4 linked regions of the Drosophila melanogaster genome follow. The protein of the gene in region 3 interacts with the protein of the main gene of each other region in a pairwise test. Each region holds a gene or a part of one and is shown on either strand. Other genes may lie near its edges.

Region 1 (4,553 bases), on a different chromosome or scaffold from region 3:
GGGAACGGGCGGCGGCGACGGCGATCGCGGTAGTTCACCTTGCTCCTGTTCGCGCCGCGTCATCTCGATCAACTCGCGCACTTTGTCCATATTGCGAACGAACTCCTCGCGCGTGGCCGCTAGCGGCGATGCTGCCCCGAAACTAACAGTCGATCCACCAGATACATTTGTATCTTTTGCTAATTGTTCTCGATCGGCGGGAGTGGGCGTCGGCGTCGGCGTCGGCGTTGCGGCGCTCAGCAGCGAAGACTGCGAACTGGCGAGCGTCGGGTTGGCGTTAACAGGTGTGCTCTCGCGACTCTGCTCGCCCTCTCTCTCCGTCTCCGTTTCCGTTTCCGCTTCCGTCTCGCTCCTGTCTGCAGTAGTGGTACTAGTGCTGCTCATCTCATCATCCGGCCGAGCAATCAACCGACTGGCATCCGTATCCAAGTCTACGAGGGCTCTCTCCGCCAAGGCGGCAGCCTGCTCTAGTTCTAGTTCCATGAGGTCAGAGACGCTGCTGGAGGCCGAGGAGCTTAGGTAAACTAGCTCCGCATCTTCAGACTGTGGAGACAGGGCGCTCTGCAGTCGGGTGCAGCTCTCCAGATCGGTTGACTCCTCCAGCAGCTTGGTTTCGAGCTTAAGAGGCGACGGTGCCTCCTCCCTACGCTTGTGTCTGCGACTAAAGTCCAACTGACTCCTGGGAAAGGTCTCGTTTAGCTTGGGAGTGCGGATCCCCGTCTGATCGCTTCCGCCAGAGGAGGCGGTGGAGTTTCTCCATTCATTCTCCTCCAGGATGCTGTCCAGATAGCGGGGATTGAGCAACTGCGGCATGAAGTGCGATTCCAAAGCGTTCCGATACTGGGCACGTTTCTGGCGCACCTGCTCATGCTGCTCTACTCGGCTGCTGGACGGCACCTGCTGATCCGACGGCGATCGCTCCGGTCCCAAGACTACCGATCCCTCTGATTCCGAGTCTACTTCGCATACCAGCGGCGACTGCAGGGAATTGAATTCCCCGGAGCTGAAGTCGCTGTTCAGTTCCATTTCCTGGATTTGCACATTGCGCGAGAAGTTCGAAAACTGGCCACTTGACACGTTCTTCGGCGACTCCACCAAATAACGAGGTGGTGGAGATAGGGTTCCGGCCAGAGAACCGGTAGTGCTGCTAACCTCCTCGAAAGTGGGCTTGGCATTTTGCTCTTCGTCGGTGGTTTCCACGTGTATCTGGTGGATAATCACCTTGGAGGTGGGCTTCTGTGGAGGAGGCTGCTGGGAATAAGGATCTTCTGTTTGAAACTGAACTTTTATTGTTACTTCCTTTGGGGATTTCGGTGCAGTGTCATCATTTTGCTGTTGGGCGTTATTCAAAATGGGTTCCTCTTTCACATCATGATGCAGTTGCTGTGCGAGGCCCTCTTCTCTCTTCTTCGGATCTACAAGGATTTGTGGAACTGCAATATTTTGCTGATGCGCTTTAGTTGATTCCTGTAGGTGCTGTGCTTCATTTTGCTCCTGCTGCTGTGCATTTTGCTCAGTGTCTCTCTGTTTTTGATAACTTTGCACGGCAGCAACGTGTTGCTGATGTGCATTTTCCACAAATTCCATTGCCTTTTCGAGTTGCAACACATATTGCTCCGGTTCCTTTGAATCGTGTTGCTCTTGCTGTGGATTATTGTCAGTGGTCTCATCCTTTGAGTAGTCCACTTCATCATAAACTTGTTGATTCTCTTCAACTTCGACATGTTTCTGCTGTGCGTCCTCCGAAAGATGACTAGATTCAGGAAGTTCCTTTGGACTCGGTTCATTTTCCCGTTCTTCCTTAGTTTCAATCTCCTGCTGAGCTTCAGGTTTCTCCTTCTTTGAATCCTCGACCTCCATGTGCTGCTCCTTAGATTCCACGGCTTTGGGTGGCTCTGGAGATTGAGCTTTGCCATTGGCCGTGTCCTCTTCCCTCACAATTCGATGAACTATGACCTTGGCTTGCCGGGGGCTACCGGGTGGCCTTCTTATAATGGTGGGAGGTGGACGCACCTGCTCTTCAGATTTTCCATTAGACGCCTGCTTATCGGACTTTTCCTTGCGATGTTTTGAGTTTTTGGCACCCATTTCTGCGTCTGAATCTGCTTCTTTTTGGATGACTGTTGCTGGTTGCTCGAATATTTCTTCTTTTTTTTCGGTTTTCTCAAGAGTGTTCGTCACCTCTTCGCTGTTTTCCGTTGGCCCATTTGAAACGCTGCCAGAATTTCCATTATCATCTACGAAGGAAGAAGATTGCGCTACTGCGATCTGAGTTTGGAAATCCTGCTGCTCCTCCCGATCCTCCGCCCCTTCTGCCTGCTGCTGATGGTTTTCGTTTTGGTTTTGGCTCGGATTCTGATTTTGATTTTGGTTTCGATTGCGTTTGTTGCGATTGCGATTGCGATTACGATTGCGGTTATTGGGCATCGTCTACGGCACTTTCGCTCGATCTGAACTAATGCAGTTTTCCTTGTGTGTGAGATATATATGTGTTTTTGTGTGTAAGTGAGTACTTCGTGTTTCGTGTTTCTTAATCAGCCAGAATCTACAGTACAACTAAGTGTTGTTTCGTTTTTCGGTGTCGTTTATTTCTAGTTCCCTCTGTGTGTGTCACTCGTCGCCAGAAACTCAAACAGAACTGAACTGAGAACCAGAACCGAGAGCCGGCGGCATTCTGCTCGCGACGACAGCCGGCAAAATCGAAAAAAAAAAGAAAATAAAAAAATAAAACAGCGACGTCGCTGCCGCTGCCGGCGTCTACGCCGCCCCGCCCACCGCCCACCGCCTGGCACGCGTCCGAAATCGTTATGTTTTTAGGTTTATTTTTCGCCGCCGAGATCGCGCCTTTGTCTCCGATTGCCTCGATATTTTTTCGCCAAATTAAATTGCGTTTTGAATACTAAACTTTCGCTCTCGTTTTGGGGGTATGTTCGATTTGAGCAACGGGGACACGGGGTGAAAAGTTTTTTAAATATTTTTTAAGATCGCGCTTCCCGTTCCTCGTGGCGCTGGCGACCGACGGACAAGGAATGGGCCGTGGGCTTTCCACGATCTCAGCCGGGAGCTAGCTCCCCAGTCTCCCACTCACACACATTTTTACAGACAGCCCGATTCGGATGCACAGTGGCAAGTATTTGAAAATATACACACAAAAAGGAAAATCGGGGAATTCATAACGATGCTCATGTTCACAATACATACATGTACGTAGAAAACAGAAAGTCGTACGGGAGAGCGGGAGAGAAATGTGCAAAACCAAAACAGAATCAGAATCAGAATGCAGGGTATTCCAAAGACATCAAAATACCAAAGAGACCGAAAAAAAAAACAACAATATGACTTCTAGGTCAATGCAATTTTCACAAGCCAAACAAACTCATAAAATCCGAGATGAGCAGAAAAGAAACGCACGGCTCGAAAATATATTCGGCACATTCATAAATATTAGAAAATGTTTTTGGAACACGTACATAATTTGTTTGTGGAATTTAAGCTAACGAATATATGCTTTCGAAAATAAATTTTTTTAAATGTCACAAACACATTTTTGTCTTGAATTTCGGTTGATAAATGCTCAGGAATGAAAGATGTAAGACATTAAGAGAAAATAAAGAATTTAGAGGTCAAATGAAATCAGATAAACCGTTTTCCAACCACTTAAATTGTTTAATTTTTTAAGTGGTTGATCTAAAAAACTTTCGTGCAATATACCCAAAATGGCTCAATGCAGGGCATTAAGAAGAGAACTCAATACGGAAATAGTTTGCCACAGTTCGAGTTTGCTTATATGTATCTTCTGGCCGATGTGTGTGCTTGTGTATCTGATGAGTCTGCGCTGGCTGTGTATCTATATACAACTTATGGCATTTTAAAGATATTTTTCGTGCGTAATTTCTTTGCTTTTTGTGGTCACAAGTCTCTGTTTTCGGTGTACTCTTGAATAATTGAAGCAACATATATCCACGCGCATATATGTATGTATAGCTCTCCCATGTATCATCCCAGTGGGCCATGCGGTTAGTAGTATTCCGCTTTTATTTTTAAAGGTACTTAATGGCTTTCAATTTCTCTTGTTCTGTCTGGCCCACAGCCCCATCATCTCCATTAACTTCCTCCGACCAGAACCAATCCGAACTGAAGTATCTTCGCGGGTCTGTCAGGTGCCAGACGAACCAGACACGTGATGTGGTGGTTTTGGCCCGGGCATTATGCAATTTCTGCACAGTGTGACAGACACGGGTATACCAATTAGGGAATACTAAACGATCGCTTTCCCCTCCTCAGAAACCCACTCACTTAATGTGTATTCTCAATTGGTTTCGGTTTCCGTTTGGATTTCGTTTGGGCCCCACCAAGTTGCCTGAATCACTGACGTACGACGAACATCCAAGTAGCCGCTATCTATATCTGTGGATCCATTGTAGCGGCTTCTATTTTCAGTTTTCTTGCCCCGTAATATCAACAAATTTGAAATTGATTTCTACGCCTCGCCCAATTTGCTGTAGAACAGCACACATTTTAGTTATCTTTTCTGGGCTATCGCTGATAAATTT
Region 2 (8,031 bases), on a different chromosome or scaffold from region 3:
AATTAAGTTTAATTTTATTTTAATAAAATCAATTTTAAAAATAAGTATGGAAATCTCAAAATATTTAAGATGCTGTATTCGATTTCAAGATTAAGCTCTCTTGAAAGATGTGTGTTTGTGTCATTAACCAAATATTTTATCTGATTCAAATTAAAGAAAACTCTTTGTAGTTTAGCATACAATTTATTTGGTTCCATTCTTTCGCTTCCGTTCAACAAAAGCAACGCGACCTTCTGCCTCTCAGTTTATTTAAAATATTGATGTATATATATTTTGTATATATTGAATTCATTTAGCTTAAGTGTATATATATTCTTTAGGTTGAGTTATTTAAATAATTGAAACGGTAGTTAGTTTGTGGTGTCTTTCTTCCGATTGAGTTAACTTCGAGTACTTGCCCTTAAACCTGGATCTGGTCTCATTAAGTCGTGATTTCATTGAAAAACTTGCGTCTTTCCTTTGGTTAACATTTCACTTTCCTCCGCTTACTCGCTACTCATTATGATATAGTTGTAAGATAATTAAAGCATTTAATTGTCATCTTATTCGAGTCTACATTCCGCATTCATCCCCTCACTTTGACTCCGTCTGAGATTCAGTTGGTTCGCTGAAGCCACAGAATCTCCACTTCTCCTTTTCCGGCTTGAAGAGATTTGTGTACTTTCCGAGTATATTGGCTAGATCATCATGGTTACTGGGGGCAGCGTTATTGCGCAGCATTTCGCTTAAGTAACTGGCTATGTTGGCGATTTCAACGCCATAGGGATGCAGCACCAGATAGGCTGAGGCCAGAGCAATTATCTTGGCTTCAGACAAGACTAGCGACTTGAAAGTCACCTAAAACAAGGAATAGTGATTAGAAATATGCAAGGGAATGTATGAAATAATTAGATGCATGTAAAACTAAGATAAATTAAGTAATTAAATCTATATATATATATAGTTACACAAATAATTCTCATTACTAACCTCTTCCGCGGCCACTGTTGGGATTTGCTCTTTGCTGCTTTTGTTTATAGTCTCCTCATGATTCGACTTTGAAACATTTTCCATAATTGACTCATTTGCTTTGCTTTTCGTAGAATCCTTAGCGGGCTCCTGCTTTTCATCGTCCTCGATCTCGTGTATCTCCACCACACCGCTTTGGTGCTCTATGATGCGGACATCATCATCCACTTTATCGATATCAATTATTTCCGGTTCTGCCTGTGGGCGGATAATTTCTGTGCCTTCCCGGCTACACGAATCCCCGCTGCTGTAGTCGAGATTTGAGGCGTTTGAAGCATTTGAGGCTCCAGCGCTATTTGCCTCTTTGTCCCTTAATTTGTCCACTGTTTCCTTAATTTTGGTCTTCAACAGAAGTTGCTTAATGCCGGCATCCTTGAGATTTCGTTCCAACTGCTCAATGGTCTTGTTGTCCTTCTGTTCGCGTAGCTTCGTCTGCAGCAACTGGGTCTGCATGTTGCGAATGGTTTCCTGAAGTACCTTTATCTGCTTTTCGCGCTGAACATAATCACTGCGCTCCAGCGTCATCTCGTGACGAATGGCCTCCAGTTGACAGCGTAGAGAGTCGTTCTCGTCCTGATCCAATTTAAAATCTTTATTTTATTTCAAGTTACTTATACTAAACTATTTGATAAACATACTTTTAAGCCATCACTGTCGTAGCGAATTCGCTTGGCGCTGTGTCCGCGTCTATCGTAGTCCCGCTCATCGTCGGAGATTTCCATTTCATCATCATCTGTGATCTGGACAGTTCGAAGTTCCTGCGTGGCATGCGAAAGGAACTTCAATTAATTATCCGTTGCTACTAGTTGGATAGGTTTCGTTTGGTTTGAGTACCATTGCTTACACTATTATAACCTAGCTATAAAATTTGTGTATTTAAATAATGCATCAAATTTGTTTCCTTGCTTACGACTCTGTTCTGGTCCGCTTACTTACCTCGCCACATTTTCAAAAAGTTTTAGAATTTGTTTCGATTAATTTCTTTTTGCTATTAAAAATTAATTTGTATTTGTTGCACAAATTATGTTTCACAGCAGCAATGTTTTTAGTTCTTCCTTTTGCTATTTACCACAACCAATCGATTTCACTGAGTGCCCATCAAAACCTTCCTCGTTTTCTATAAAATTCAATTTCCCATAGAAACTTGAAGGTTTGTGGACACTCGGCTAAGGTTTACTTTTAGTTCGATGTATTTAAAGCGTATCGGAAATGTTATGCAAATGCTTAGTTAAAAATAGAGATAGTACAACAACAAATGATACTTGAAAGCCAAGAAAAGATAGACCAAAGCATTACAGATCAAGAGCGAAAGCAATAAAAGTAAAAGACCTCATATTTAGAAAGATACTAATGAGTGTTTATGATCAGGAAACTGTTTAAAAAACGCACTTTTACTTTGTAAAATGAATTCTTAGAAATATAGTAATATAGTTAACTAGTTTTTTAACAGTTTCCCTTAAAATAATCTTATTCATATATCTAATTCTACATAATTTAAACGATAGTACATTTTAAGCTTGCAAATTACATTAATATTAATATTGTTTCTTTTTTAGTGACATCACAACTGATTTGGAAATTTCGATAATCAAAAACACAAACAGCTAAAAAGAGTCTTAATGCACGGGACAAATAAAAGAAATTAACAATTAATAAAAAGCAATTAGCAGCTATAAGCGTCACCAATGGAATAGTACCATATGATTATATAGGACGGGTGAATGGGCGACATGCTGAATGATAACAGAAATTGCGTTAGTAAAATGGTTAGAAATCTACTGCAACACCACAACGATGATAACAACATCAACATAAACGGATACAACATTATGAAACCAAGAGATACAACAGTGAATCGAAGTTATTGGACAATAAATGTATTTTTTGTTTTTACACAATTTGCAACATCTTTGAAATTGTTCGTATTTGATTATTTGAACATTTTAGTACGTACCGTGGCTAATTTCTTCCATTGATCGATGTTTTTTCTTTGGGCTTTGGTGAAATGGTCCCAAACCTTCTTGTGACTAGCGGCATTGAACACTTTTTCAATCTGAGTGACTGAACAATAATGCAATAATATATAATAATATTAAGGGAGGACAGAGGGTATTTTTTTTTTTTTTTGATTGTTTGTTTATCTGGATTGGTTTTCAGTTTTGCTCTTCACCTTTGTCAAACTAGACTTGTTCTCTTTGCGAATAAAATGAGTGAGAAATGAAAAATTGAAATTAAACTACAGGAGAAACCCTCGCATAGCAATTATTTAATTAGAGTAGTTACGATTATTTAAGGTTGATATATTAGGTACAATCTAGAGAGAATACAACAGCGTGATTACCTATCTTTACGTTTGTCCGAGTCTGAGATTATCTGAGATGCTCTACAAGGACCTCTCAATCCATTACTGTACCAATTGTTTCAATTTGCTCTCTGCCTTGCGGCTTACAAACCTTTTGGGCCAAATAAGACTTAAGACTTTTGTGGTGGTGTCGAGACACAGTGAAAGTGAGTGAGGATCAGCCGCACAGTGGAGCGAATCAGTGAAAAGGGCGACCAACTTTTTAAATAAACATGATTGAATAAGAAATGATATTCCATTTTAATCAGGAAATCAAACTGTTAAATGAATGCGAAATGTAGTTTTATAGTTTTACATTAATATTAATTATCAAAATAATTGATAATTTAAGCGGGTTTTTGATTTAATACTTATTAGCGGTAGTTAATTGGCAGTAATAATTTAGTAAAACGTATTAAAACGACTGAACTTCCTAGTAAATGCATTAATCTTTCAAATGCCAATGCTTGTGCTAAGGCTCCATATACCATCACAAAACATTTTCAGATGTTAGAACAAAGGCAATCTCGATTGTCGCCTCATCCACTGACTTTTGCTGTGCGGCGGCCTTGGGCTTCGTCTTTTTCGGCTAGTCTTTACCTGATCCTGCTTGGATTCATTGGGCTTGCTCCAGCGACCATTGGCGAGCAAATTTTAGACGGTAGTTTCATATGTGGAGTTTGGCATTTAATAATTCGATGACTAGATTTGCTAAATATTGTGTAGGATGGGTATGGTGTGTTTTCAGTGTAGGTGTAGGTGTTTGGATGTGTAGTACGCTGGTAGATTGTTCAGATATACAGACGCTAAAAGGCTAACCCGGGCGCAACGTAAACAGAAAAATAGGATTTCAAAGTGGGATCGGCGCCTAGTTTCCCGTCTAGACTAGAGCTAAGAAAGCTGATCTTCCGGCTGAAAGGCCGAAATACTTACATTGCGTGGACATGGTGCCCATTTGGTTGCGATAGCTGTCTCTGGCCTTCTTTAGATCCTCCTCCAGTTGCAGTTTGTCTGCATGGAGTCTTCGTACATGGGCATGAGTGCTCTGGATCATCGAATAGAAGACATTGGCGTTCCGCTTAGTGCAATCTCCCCGCTCCAGCCACGCGGTAATCGTTTGAATGGCCTTTACAAAAGTCTCGTTGGTGCGTAGGTGCTCCGCAACAGTAGTAGCCTCGTGATCCGTGTAGTGCGGTATTGGTGGCGGCGACTGCGATCGCATCCTGTCCATCGACATGCGCTCACGATGACGCTGTTCCCTCTGATGCTGTCTCTGTCGACACTCGTAATCATACTGATCATCCCGTGCCTGTGCGTAGTCCACATGCAGGCGTCCAAAGTTGGGAGGTTCATTTAGCGCTGATATACGCAATCTATAGCCGGATAGGTAGATGGCCCTATCTATGGCACCCTCTTGGCGGTAGCGAATATGGCAAAAGTTCTTCTTGGACATGCGCAATGTGGTGATCTCGCCGCATGATTCGAAGATCTCCCGGATCACTTCTTCGGTTATGTTTTCCGGCAGTCCACCCACAAACACCGTCCGGCATCCTGGTGGTCGCTCCCTTATTGTGGGAGGAGGTGCGTTCGGATTAGGTGGAAACAGGATGCAGTTCTTGGTCTTGATCACCTCCTTGAGGCCAGCTGGTGTAACGCCATCTAAAAGTATGTTTTTATTAGAATGTTTATTTAAGGTTCCAATTTGGTATTGCTTTCATTACCCGCATTAAGAGTTGCTTCTAGTCCAGCTCCGGTTTCTGTGGTCATTCCGGCTGCTGCTGCCGCTGCATAGTGCATCTGTTGCATTTGTTGCATCGCCGCCGCCATCATGGCCGTAGGATCCATGAGCATTTGCGCATTGGCGGTGCTGTTTGCTGAAGCTGCCGGCGTGGATCCCCCTGCAGCCGAGGATGGATTGCCGGGTGCAGTAGCACCACCCGCTTGGGTGGCCGGAAAATACAGATATCCAGGTGGTGTGTGCACCAAGCCATTCAGGTATAGTTGCGTCGAATCGGGCAGAGTGAGCGAGTTGGATGTGGCCTGCAACTTGGGTTCCTTGTGCATCGTCGAGGAGCTCACATCCGCAGAGTGTTCGTTCTCATTCTCCAGATCCATGGGCGCACTGCCCTGTGGTTGTTGTTGTTGTTTTGCCATCTTATTCTGGATCTGTTTGGGGGGCGAAGAGGGATTTCCCACGACAGATGTGCTCGAGGCCGCCGTGGAAATTGCAGCTGCCAATTGGTTGAGGAAATTCGGGTGATTTGGCAAACTGACGCCATTCGGCATGGTCCCAAAGAGCGGTACTGCAAAATGTACACAGTTTGTAATTTGCTTTAAAAGAGATAACAACCCAAACGAAGCCGGTAGCAAAACAAAATAACCAATCAGCTGAGCACCTCAATTTTCGATAGGTAAAAAAAGGAAATAAAAGCTGGGGGGTGGCAAGTGCCCAAAATGGCGTAAGTCCCACCTGCTGATAAAAGTCGAATTCACCGCAAATACTGTTGTTTCTTAATTTCCCAGACCTTTCTATTTATTCCATTTTCTTTGCTACACATTTTGTGGGCTTTTTAAAATCATTATCTTATCACTTACGCATATTAACGCCCCAGTAATTGTACGACAGGTATGTATAAAAAAAAACTAATTATATTTAGAGATGAGTGACTGCTCGTACTGGTCACCCTAAAAAGAGTATCGATATCCGATAATTTCGGCGCTGCCACACTTTTCACTATGAATCATCAGCTGTCGTCAGTTTTCTAGAAAAACAAAACGTAGTTGTATGAAATTTTTGCAAATTTTTGTGGACTCAAAACAGTTGGAAAATTAAAGAGACATGTCGGTTAATACGGCTCACGCCAACAATGGCGTGCTCATCCATGCTGGAGAGTAGTAAGTTAACGGAAAAGTCCTTTAATTAACACTGAAAATGCTGAACATCCCTGACGTCATAAATGTAAACACTGACGTGTGGCTGGCGATTTGAAAGGAAATTAGCCTATGTTCCAGCGATAAGATAGAAATATGGCACACAAATTAACTGCTTTTACACTTTCAGCATACTGCTCCACAGCGACAGTGTCTCCATGGAGTTCTCCGGTCAGGACAATCCCATCTTCAAGGGCTCCAAAGGTGGCAGGATTTATCTCACCTCCCACCGAATGATCTTCAATAGCAAGAAGTCCTCGGATTCGATGCAGTCGTTCAGTGCCCCGTTTGTTGCTCTTTCGGATGTGGAAATCGAACAGCCCGTTTTCGGGGCCAACTACATCAAGGGAAAGGTTCGCGCTCAGCCAAATGGAAACTACGTGGGCGAGGTCAAGTTCAAGCTCCATTTCAAGGCAGGCGGCGCAATTGAGTAAGTGCATTGTGCACCTAAATTAAAACTAATTAGACGGATCTCTTGATAAGTCTTAATACTGAATAGACTCAAGAGAATATATAATGTTCTGATTAACAAGTCCATTTCTTATAGATATGGTCAAGCTCTACTGCGCTCCGCCAAGACGGCGATGAACAACTACCACCGCGGTGGTCTGGCTGGTGATGATCCGCCACCATATCAGCCGGCTGGATCCTGGAATGAGGCACCACCGCCGGCATATCAGCCACCACCTGGCTACTATGGCTGGCTGCCGCAGCATGACGCATTCAGCGGCCCTGCGCCGAATACGGTCTATATGAGCGACAATCCGCCGCCGTATCCGGGTATCGGTAAGTTAAACGCACGTGCACTTTACCCAATCTATACTCGGCTTTTGTTTTGGCACGCTGGCTACGCGAATTGGCAACCTGGCTTACCCACGAAATTCACGCTACGCACTCGCTTCGTTTAACCCAATGGGGCACTCCTCTCTTTTTCGTCTTAGCACCACCTGCTCACCAACCAGCACCGCAACAGCCGCAGGCACCGTCGTCGAATGAACCCAATTGGTATGGTTTTTCAGCGCCGCCGCCGCAGCAGCAACAACAGCAGCCGGGCTATGGGCCACAAGGATGGGCCGGTGGCTATGTCCAACCTCCGCCGTACGCTTCATGTGCCCCAAATTGTCCACCACAGCCGCCGTACGCCGCTCCGGCTCAGACGTACAATGGTCCACAGCCATATGGTGGATACGGCAATGTTCCTGGCGGATTTAATACCCCCGGATTTCAGCAACCGAATGGAAATCCAAATGGCTATCCAGGTGGACCACCGCCACCCGGACAACAAGCAGCAGGAGCAGCTGGAGGAGCCGCCGCATCTGGAGCCAGCTTTATGGGCTTCAGCTTGCCCCCTGGAAGTGAGTAGAACTCATCATCCCATTCATCACTTTTTTAACATTTCCCTCCCACAATGCACATTTCTAAATTGGTTTTATTCTAGCAAAAGATAAAAAAATATGAGCAAAAGGACAAGAAAATTATGAACATCTTTAAAATAGTCGAAACATCTAAAGATCTAAAATGTTATCAAGAATTTAATTGAAGTATCATGAACCACCTTTTGCTTTCGGACGCTCAAAGTATTCAAGAGGCATCCAAAAACCATTCAGAAGCATTCGTTCTGTTTATTTTTCTCACTTACAAAATTATTCAATTTGTCCAAATAATAAATGATTTGTTAGCATAATTCATTTGACGGTGTAATATTCCTTTTTTGGTAGTGTTTATATTTGTTTTTTTCCCATTTTTGAGTT
Region 3 (3,996 bases):
GAGTGCGTGGATGGATTGTGAGGAGAAACTTTAAGAAGATGAAGGCGGCAATTACGATCGTGCGCGCCTATAAGGCCTACAAACTGCGTAGCTACGTCCAGGAGCTGGCCAATCGCTTACGGAAAGCCAAGCAGATGCGCGACTACGGCAAGAGCATCCAGTGGCCACAGCCGCCGCTCGCCGGACGTAAGGTGGAGGCTAAACTGCATCGTATGTTCGATTTCTGGCGAGCCAACATGATCCTGCACAAATATCCTCGCAGCGAGTGGCCGCAATTACGTCTGCAGATTATCGCCGCCACTGCGCTGGCCGGAAGACGACCCTATTGGGGTCAAGCGCGCCGCTGGGTGGGTGATTATCTGGCCAACTCGCAGGAGAACAGCGGATATGAAGCCTACAACGGAAGCATAAAGAACATAAGGAACCACCCCGCCGACGGCGAGACCTTCCAGCAAGTGCTCTTCTCCTCATTCGTCAAGAAGTTCAACCATTTCAACAAGCAGGCTAATCGCGCCTTCATCGTTTCCGATTCGACCATCCACAAACTGGACGGTATCAAGAATAAATTTAAGGACATGAAACGCACCATTAAAATTAGGGAGGTTAGTAGATAGTATAATAATATATTATATTATTATATTATAATATTAATTCCGTATCTTGACTTCGCTTACAGTTGACGTCCATTAGTGTCTCACCCGGCCGGGATCAACTAATCGTCTTCCACTCGTCGAAAAACAAGGATTTAGTGTTTTCCCTGGAGAGCGAGTACACGCCCCTCAAGGAAGATCGCATTGGCGAAGTGGTGGGCATTGTGTGCAAGAAATACCATGAGTAAGTGGAACGCCCATTTAGTATGTTCACCAGATATTAATATCAAATCCTTTCCAGCCTCACTGGAACCGAGTTGCGTGTGAATGTGACCACCAATATTTCCTGTCGCCTAGACGGCAAGGCACGCATTATTACCGTGGAGGCGGCGTCCAATGTGGAGGTCCCCAACTTCCGTCCTAAAGAGGGCAACATCATTTTCGAGGTGCCGGCGGCGTACTGCGTTTAGGCGGAATCAACTCCGCCCAACTGTATTGTAAATTATGGAACCTAGTTTTAAGACTGGGCTCATCACCCTCTTTTCTACTTGTGACCCATGTGTCCCACCAAGGACATGACGACTCTGTGTATACCGTGCCTTCCGCCAAACACCCGCTTTGTAGTTTTTAATACGTCATTCTATAGTTAGTCCTATCTGTTTATCTGTTCTGTGTGTGACGACATGATTGTAATTTTGTACATTTTTCTATTATGCGTATGCGTTAAGGCGATATTTATTTAACATCCATGTGAGAGGAATACCACCTCCGCCGGTTGAGCTGGCCGACGAAAAGAACGAAAAGTATTAAATGTACTTTGTGCATTTCTTCAAATATGATTCACAGCACACAAGAAACCATTTGTAACGATCAGTAAAATGTTTGTACTTAAAGCGAAAGATCACAAACATATGTGTGCCATTTGCAAATATTATTGAAATAATATATGAAATAAAAGATGTAAACTTTGTACTTGAGAAAGCTGGTTAATGACTATTTTTTTATATCAATAAGTTAAAGAGAAGTTAACTTACCAAACATAAGCATAATGTGCATAAGTTCCCTATCCCAACCTTGATCTGAATTGAACCCATTCAAAATTTCGGTCATTTCGTCATGAATTCCCCCAAAATGTGCGTTCGGCATTTGAATATCTGTGAGTTTCTGCATCTGTGAATCTTTTTCAAATGCTGCTTTAAATCCAAACGTAAAATCCGTACGCATTCGTATGCGAATGCGATCAAAATGTATTGGCAGAGACCGAAATAAAGTGCACATGGCTCGCCGCCGATTGATAAAAGATAAAAATAAAGAGATCGGCCTCTCTTTATGCGGAATGTGCGCTCGCATTCGCCTGTAAATTCTCGAAGGGAACGCGTGCAATTCGGAGCATCGAAGCACCCAAGGTGATTACATAAAGCCAGAAAACCAGAACCATGCAGAAGGCCATCAAGAAGGAGCTCAGCTTCTCGCTGGACACGCTGGAGCGCTATAGGGCCAAGTACGGACGCAGTGCATCGCTGGACACAAACGGCACACCAATTGCACACACAGACGGCGACCAGGCTGCTCCTGCGCCGCCACCGCCCTCGATCTTCACAAAGTCGTTGTCGCCACCAAAGATGACCAAGCTTCAGGAGTTGCAGCAGAAGAAGGAGGCCTATTTAAGGGCCAAGGAGCACGAGCGGGAAATGGAGCAGCTGCAGCGCACAGAAAGAAGGTCCATCATAAATGGTTCGGATACGCCCAAGCCCAAGACAGGCAGTCCAACGAGCACTTCACCGACTCCCAATGCAAGTTCCTCGTCAACCGCTGCCGTGGCTACCAAGACCTCCAGTCCAGCTGGCTACACCAACTGGTCGAATCACCATGCCACACTCTGCTCCCAGTCGTGGGTGGCCATCTCCGAGCTCATGTACTTTTGCGACAAGTATGAGTTCACCACCCTCAGCACACGCGATCTGAGGACGCACCAGGAGATCGTGGCCGAGGTGAGAGCTCTGCTGTCCGGCAAGGCGCCCTTCGATCAACGCACCCGCTTCCCGGGTAACATTCACGATCCGGAGAACTTGTGGGTTTGCATCGGTCGCTGTGCCAGCGTGGAATACCATCTGCAGCGCATCATCAGCATCTTTCGCAAACCTCTCAATCAATTGACACCGGACAAACAGCGAACGGTGCGTCAGAATTTCCACCTGGCGGTCAGCGAACTGCGGCTGGACATCTCGGCGAGGATTAGCGAGGTGCGGCTGTACGATCGCCTGGTCTTTGAGCGCGAGTTCCGGCTGGAGTGGCTGGATGAGGAGGCCTAGTGGATTAAATGGTTTAAAGGATGAGTTAGGTGGACAATAACGTTTATTGGCAATTCTTCGCTCTTTTTTGCGGTGCGCGGTGGAAAAAACGGTTACAAAAATACACTTGGACACAGGAGGCCGGAGCATGGAGCACACGACTATGGTAACCAGTGTGCTGGCTGCTCCATTCAACATACATATAAGGGGTATCTCGTCAACTGATCATCATTATGATTTCTTTGGCTGCAATTGATTTGCTTAGTAGTTAACGTAAGGAACATTTTCAATCAGAAAGATTTTACATAAATTCTGTGTAGATTCTATTGTACAAAGCATTAGGACAATCATAATCAAAATCAGTTGTCGCACATGCCCATATACAAAGTTAACCACATATTTCACAAATCTAGGCCATGGATTCCTGCAACAACTGCTCGCACAACTAAATCTAAAGGCCGCCGGCGGTCAGGTGGAATCTGAGGATACAGCTCGAGCCTGTCCGCCGATCAGGACAACTTATTGCTCCGTAATACGTAATACAAACATTTATATATATGTACACAATGCTAGCGGTATAAATAAAGCACTTTTGTGTGGGCCAACATGGATTTGCTTGCGAACAAGTGTGCTGCTAGTGCGGAGTGCTTTAACATCTAGCGGAAGATTCAGGTTGCAGATTATCATAGTTCTTTTTGGATCCCAGGGATCTCTTCAGTGGGTTCGTTTAACGTGCAGCTAGTCAACATCTGTGTAATCTGTAATCTTTAATGCCAAAGAACATCGAATGGCGGAATGAACCTAGCAGAACTTGAGCTTCATCTTGCTGGTCTTGGGCACATTACGGATGGTGAGGGAGATGCGCGGCGATCGGCGTACTAAGTGATCCCCGATCTTGTAGGTATTCTCGCACAGATCGTAGTTGGAGATGCGATCGCAGAGCACATCCTCGCTAGTCTCGGAGATGGCGTGCAGATAGTCGGTGTACAGCGTGTCCTTGAGGATGAGCAGGCTGCGCGGTTCCAGCAGCAGCTTGAAGAGCACTTCACGGGTCGTCTGATCTCCAGCTTCTGTTTCAGTTGTGGTGTCCTCACGCTTGACAAACTCCAGCACGG
Region 4 (5,159 bases), on a different chromosome or scaffold from region 3:
AGGTAGGTACACACCCGTGCATTGTTGCCTCATTACACTAACAACTATTTCATGTTCAGGACAATTACGATAACACGTTTCTGCGGCGCGTTTATACGTATCCCATTGTTACGTACGATGAGCTGCGGCGAAACCTGATTAGGTGAGTTGATATATGATATATAGAAAGTATCTACATAATTCCAATTATGGTGTTGCAGAATCGAAGGTCCAGTTCGCATTCAATACACTACTAGGGAGCAGTACAAGCGGACAACTAAGATGCTGGGTCTTATGGATGATTTCAAGGTAGATCAATCAATCTATGTGCTTGAAACTATGATTATTCTTAATCTTTGTAGAGCGGTGTTCCGCGGACTGCCTACCATGGCATCGTCTCCTTCTACTACAACAAACGGCGCGTGCATCTGGCACCCAACGCCAACTGGAAGGGCTACGAGCTCTCTTGGAGCTAACGACGCTAAGGACAGAGTACCGCCAGCTCCACTTCCATTACCACGCAGCTAGCTCCGCGTGCTTGCAATACCAAAAATAGCCCTATGAGTTTTAATTTTTATTTGACCAATTAGCTAAGTTGTAACTATGGAATCTCCTCGAACAGTAGACGCTGTTCGCAGCCATCGCGTAGGCAGGAGTACTTGGAGTACTAGCCCTGATTTCTGATAGAAAACGCAATTCGTCTGCTCCAGATCCCTAGCCTACGGACCTACTGTTGGCGTAACAAAATCAAATCAAATGAGTCTCCACTATGTATAGTAGTCAACCGAACCGAACTGTGTGTGGCAAGAGCCAAAAGTGTTCCATTCTAGCACACCAGCCACACAAGCAACGCAATGAATTGTAAATAAGTCAGTGTCGTTCGCTTTTGTTACAGCTCTCTCTATCTGTCTATCTCTCTCAATTTATCGTGTTAAATTGCAAATAGTTATAGCAATGGTTAAGTTATAGTATGCAGCGTGTAATTTGTAGCATTTAAGTTGATCCAACTAGAGTTCTAACGGCAACGGACGTGTAATATTTGTGATTTTTGATTATTTAATTTACATTTATTAATTGTTGAGAGCCAGTCAGTAAACAGTACCCGACCCACACAATGTAACATAGAATAGCAATAACTAGCGCTAGTACTAGTACTAGAACCACAACGTAAACTAGACCAGTGCTGAGCCACCAGGGGTACGCCAGTAATCCCGGCCAGATCTGAAAGTGTGCCACTCTCAGCTAGTTGTAATGGAATCAACCCAGACAGGACACCTACTCTACTACCCCCTATGACTACACTTTGTATGAGCATATTTTTGTGTGTATGAGAGACGTACGGAACATAAATTCTAAAGACAACCAATCGCCTTTTCACTCCGCAGCAGGTGGCTCCTCATCCTCGTCCAGATGCTCGCAGTCAATGTCGCTGCACTCGGACTCCGATTGTGTGGGTCTGCGGCTCCGCTGCGCCTGATTTAATCCATCGTGGCCGTAGGCTGTGGCTGTTCCAGCGACTGGCGTGCTGCGTTGTTGCAGAAAGTTGGCATTGGCATCCCCAAAGACGCGTTCCAGTTCGGCGAGGCCATTGGAGGCGCCGCTTTCCGCTTCCGGCGGCAGCGTCGCGTACTTCATTTGCAGATAGCTCTCGTTCGTTGGCAGTGACGCCGCGTAGTCCACATAGCTGGTCGCATACGGCTTGCAGCGAGGGATGTAGCTGGCCGCAGGCACACCACCCGCCGGCGGCTTAGCCACGCCAAAGGGCAGGGCGAAGTTCAAGGGTTGTCCACGTGCCAGTATGGCATTACGGGCACTCTCCATCACACTGGGACCCGGCAACGGTGGCATTCCGCCGCTAGTCGCGTACGGACGCATGGGTGAGCCGGTGGCCGTCGTTGCTGAGGCCATGGGTGCAGCGGAGCCACTGCCATTTAGCATAATGGACTGAATGGGCGTGGGACCCGTTGGCGTTTGGCTAAAGAGCCAAAGGCGATCACCAACCACCATCGGCCTGGCCAATCCCCCGATACCCAGCTGGGCGTAATAGTGCGAGGCCAGCGTTTCCACGTCCGAGGTGTACTTGCGCTTCCACTTGGTGCGGCGGTTTTGGAACCAGATCTTGATCTGAAAAGTGAAATGAATGAATGAATTATTTACGAGGAATGCCAATTGTATCTCATAGATACAAGGGATTTCATTTCATGTTATTAATCGCTTTTAGATAGAATGGCAAACTTTTTTGGGTAGTAATTAAATTTTTTGATAGATTCCACAACTAACCTGCGTTTCTGTGAGCTGCAGCTGCTTGGCCAGTGCAGTTCGCTTCGCCACCGAAAGATACTTTCCCCTTTCGAACTCCGTTTCCAGTGCTTTGATTTGAGCTGCCGAGAAGGCGGTACGCGGTCGCTTTTTGCGGTCATCACCAAGGCCTGCAATGGAATCAAAGTGGGAAATCGAAATCCCAATTAGACATTTATTGCTACCGACAGCGGGCAATCCGGCGCGCGGTGCCAACTATTTTCGCCTAATGGTAATTTGTCGATCCGTTGTTGGCACAGTTGTATGTGTATGTAAAATGCCCCGTCGCACCGCAAAACCCCTGGCAAATTGCAAATCACACTGTTGCATTTCACTTAGCCAAGGCGTCTAATTGGCCATTTTGGCATACATTCTCTTGGCCGACCGAAAACAAATAGCCATATAAATTCCTTCTTAACGGGTGGAAGAATATCTCCTTTGAGATCGCCAGCGATCTTTGTTCGCTTGTGACATTTGCATCATTAGTCGACTGCGTTGGTGTCGACGAAAATGTGGATATGGAATGGATGGCTTATTCCCTGTCACCCAGAAGCTAATTTCTGATCATTTGTTTCTTGATCGCACGGATGACAGATGAGATCATTCAGCCATAGGCACTCACTCATTCGTTCAGGTGGGAAACTCATTGCATATTTACATACAATAATGAACGGCTGTGCTGAGCTCGTTATGGGTGATTCCATTAGGAGGTAAATCATCTTTTAGAGACATTTTTTTTCAGAATTTAAAATTTGTATATTGTAACTGTATTATTTGAAAGATCCTTGATAATTCCTTGAACCTTGATAATACTACACTTAAAAGCACTAAAGCACTGACTATTTGGCTGTTGGTGCTATTTATCCTGATGAAGTTCAGTATAAATCTATATTTTGTATATTTGCTATTTAATAAGGATCCAATTGAGCTTTAAGTTAAGTTTTTAGATCCCAAATCCAATTCCAGACACCAAAATTCTCGTCGTTGTAAAGCTTATATTCCGGCATATCGATCATACGCACCGTTTCCATCATCTGAGGCCAAATCGATATCACTTTTGCCGTCGTCCATGTTGTCATCCAAGCAACTCGATGTTGCCGGACTGGAAGCCCGTGAAGCACCGAGACAATTGCCACCGCGACCGCTTTCATCCTGCACGGAGTCCTCAAAGGAAGTGGAGCTGCGCATTTCCGGCTTGGCCAGAATTTGTTCGATGGAAAAACTGTGTGGATAGCGACGCACTGCCGATTGCGAATTCATGTTTCCGCCGATTGCGAGCGATATATATTTTGAAGATATTCCGGAGACAACAGCGCGCGTGGAGATCTTACGGAAAACTAATTTGAATATGCGGAGCATCCTGCTCACTGGCCGATTTTTCAAGATGATCGCCTGGCGGGGCGGAGCCTAAAATCATATATCTCCGCACCGCTCACACCATATGCGCAAATAGAACGACAGAAAGGAACAGAAACATACTATTCGATTTTCACTGAAGACAGCACACAAGTTCGGTTATTTTTAAAACATGTGTGAAATGTTTGGGATGAGGGGCGTGGCTCGCGTTCAACGCCGTCTTCTGGGTTTTCGAAATTGTTTTTGTCGCCTTGCCCGTGATTAAAAGTCATAATTTTTGGCTAATTGTCTACAAGTAGCGCTATTTAATATTTCGATGGCTTTGCTAAATATATTTAATACGTTTGCCAACATATTTCATCCATTTGATTAATGAACGGCGAGCAATTTCTTTGACTGGATTTGTTTTCAGTGCTTTGGTGTGCAGGCACGTGTCCTCTTTTGGGTTAATTCAGAATTCTTTAAACAATGCAGCATTCAAAAAATTGTATTCAAATGTACAAATGGTTTCTTTGTCGATTTTTTGGAATTTTTTAAATCTCTTAACAAAGTAATACAAGGCCATTAGTCTAAGTGATTGTAACGCAATGCATAATTGGGTTCTACTAGCTTGAGAAACATTTTTAATGTGTATAATATATTCAATTTAAATCTGAGAAACAGTAATTTTGAAGCACAACATTTTTTGAATCATAACTTAATTGTTGAGTTTTTAGAACACCTTCCTTACAGATATTTCATATTATAACTTTCTATTTCTTTGAATCCCAATCCCAAGCCCCCTGTAAAAATTTCATTAATTCGAAATTATGAACACATAATTCAGACAGAATGGAAAATGGAAAAGGGGCACTCAGGATCCGAATGGAGGGGAGGATCTGAGAAATTAGCCGGCGGCCTGGCTGACACTAGTTTCCAATTGGCCAGCAGCCAAATCCACAACATCTACTGGGCTACAGGGTGCCCATTCCTGGATGCGCGGATGCCCCATGATAACGTCTTCATTATTCAGGCGCGATTTGAACAAAATATCTGAAAACACGTTAATTAGTCGCCGAGATGGCGGAGCAAAAAGGGGAAAGGGGACGAATCGCAGGGCATCCATTTAGCCGGCCGGGCTGTCAGTTTGATTTAATTTAATGAGAATTCTGGCGGGGATTCGGATTCGGTTGCGGATGCGGGGGGGATCTAGATCTGCTTATGAGGCCGCATGCCCGAGTGTCGCGGGCACTCAAATCAAAATGACAACTTAATTTTCATAATTGCGCTTAATGAATATTCGACTATTGCTTGCCATATTTCAAATTCCACTGCCAAACAGAATGCAGACTTTGTTTCGACTTCGTCATTTTTGAGTATTTACCAATTTGTTGGCTACTTTATAACCTATCTATCCATGGGTATCTATGGAATCACATTCAAGCCGAACATCTGAACATAAGTATTCTATTCTATCTTGTTTTGGCTAAGTCAATATATTAAGTTTCCTAACTGGATCAGAGAAATCTGAGGAAGGAAATGAACTT

The links.
Region 1: the proteins of CG13144 (region 3) and CAP interact in a two-hybrid assay, tested with the Drosophila melanogaster proteins (one large-scale study listed by BioGRID).
Region 2: the proteins of CG13144 (region 3) and CG10948 interact in a two-hybrid assay, tested with the Drosophila melanogaster proteins (one large-scale study listed by BioGRID).
Region 4: the proteins of CG13144 (region 3) and lms interact in a two-hybrid assay, tested with the Drosophila melanogaster proteins (one large-scale study listed by BioGRID).

The regions. Positions count from the first base shown.
Region 1 is NT_033778.4:10,277,215-10,281,767, reverse strand, and holds the start of CAP (CAP), read right to left. Parts: upstream 3,033-4,553; 5' UTR 2,428-3,032; coding exon 1-2,427.
Region 2 is NT_037436.4:12,844,088-12,852,118, forward strand, and holds CG10948 (uncharacterized protein), read right to left. Parts: upstream 6,031-8,031; 5' UTR 5,949-6,030; coding exon 5,945-5,948; intron 5,705-5,944; exon of another isoform or gene 5,653-5,704; coding exon 5,071-5,652; intron 5,009-5,070; coding exon 4,283-5,008; intron 3,070-4,282; coding exon 2,963-3,069; intron 1,767-2,962; coding exon 1,647-1,766; intron 1,582-1,646; coding exon 970-1,581; intron 838-969; coding exon 574-837; 3' UTR 167-573; downstream 1-166. Other genes in the region: Wbp2 (WW domain binding protein 2), read left to right, coding at 6,189-6,244, 6,411-6,710, 6,828-7,066, 7,222-7,635.
Region 3 is NT_033779.5:10,489,395-10,493,390, reverse strand, and holds CG13144 (uncharacterized protein), read left to right. Parts: upstream 1-1,936; 5' UTR 1,937-2,026; coding exon 2,027-2,902; 3' UTR 2,903-3,491; downstream 3,492-3,996. Other genes in the region: Myo31DF (myosin 31DF), read left to right, coding at 1-602, 677-834, 892-1,060; CG6144 (uncharacterized protein), read right to left, coding at 3,683-3,996.
Region 4 is NT_033778.4:20,555,336-20,560,494, reverse strand, and holds lms (lateral muscles scarcer), read right to left. Parts: upstream 3,619-5,159; 5' UTR 3,538-3,618; coding exon 3,300-3,537; intron 2,409-3,299; coding exon 2,260-2,408; intron 2,104-2,259; coding exon 1,354-2,103; 3' UTR 542-1,353; downstream 1-541. Other genes in the region: Mgat1 (mannosyl (alpha-1,3-)-glycoprotein beta-1,2-N-acetylglucosaminyltransferase), read left to right, coding at 1-2, 60-142, 201-288, 342-455.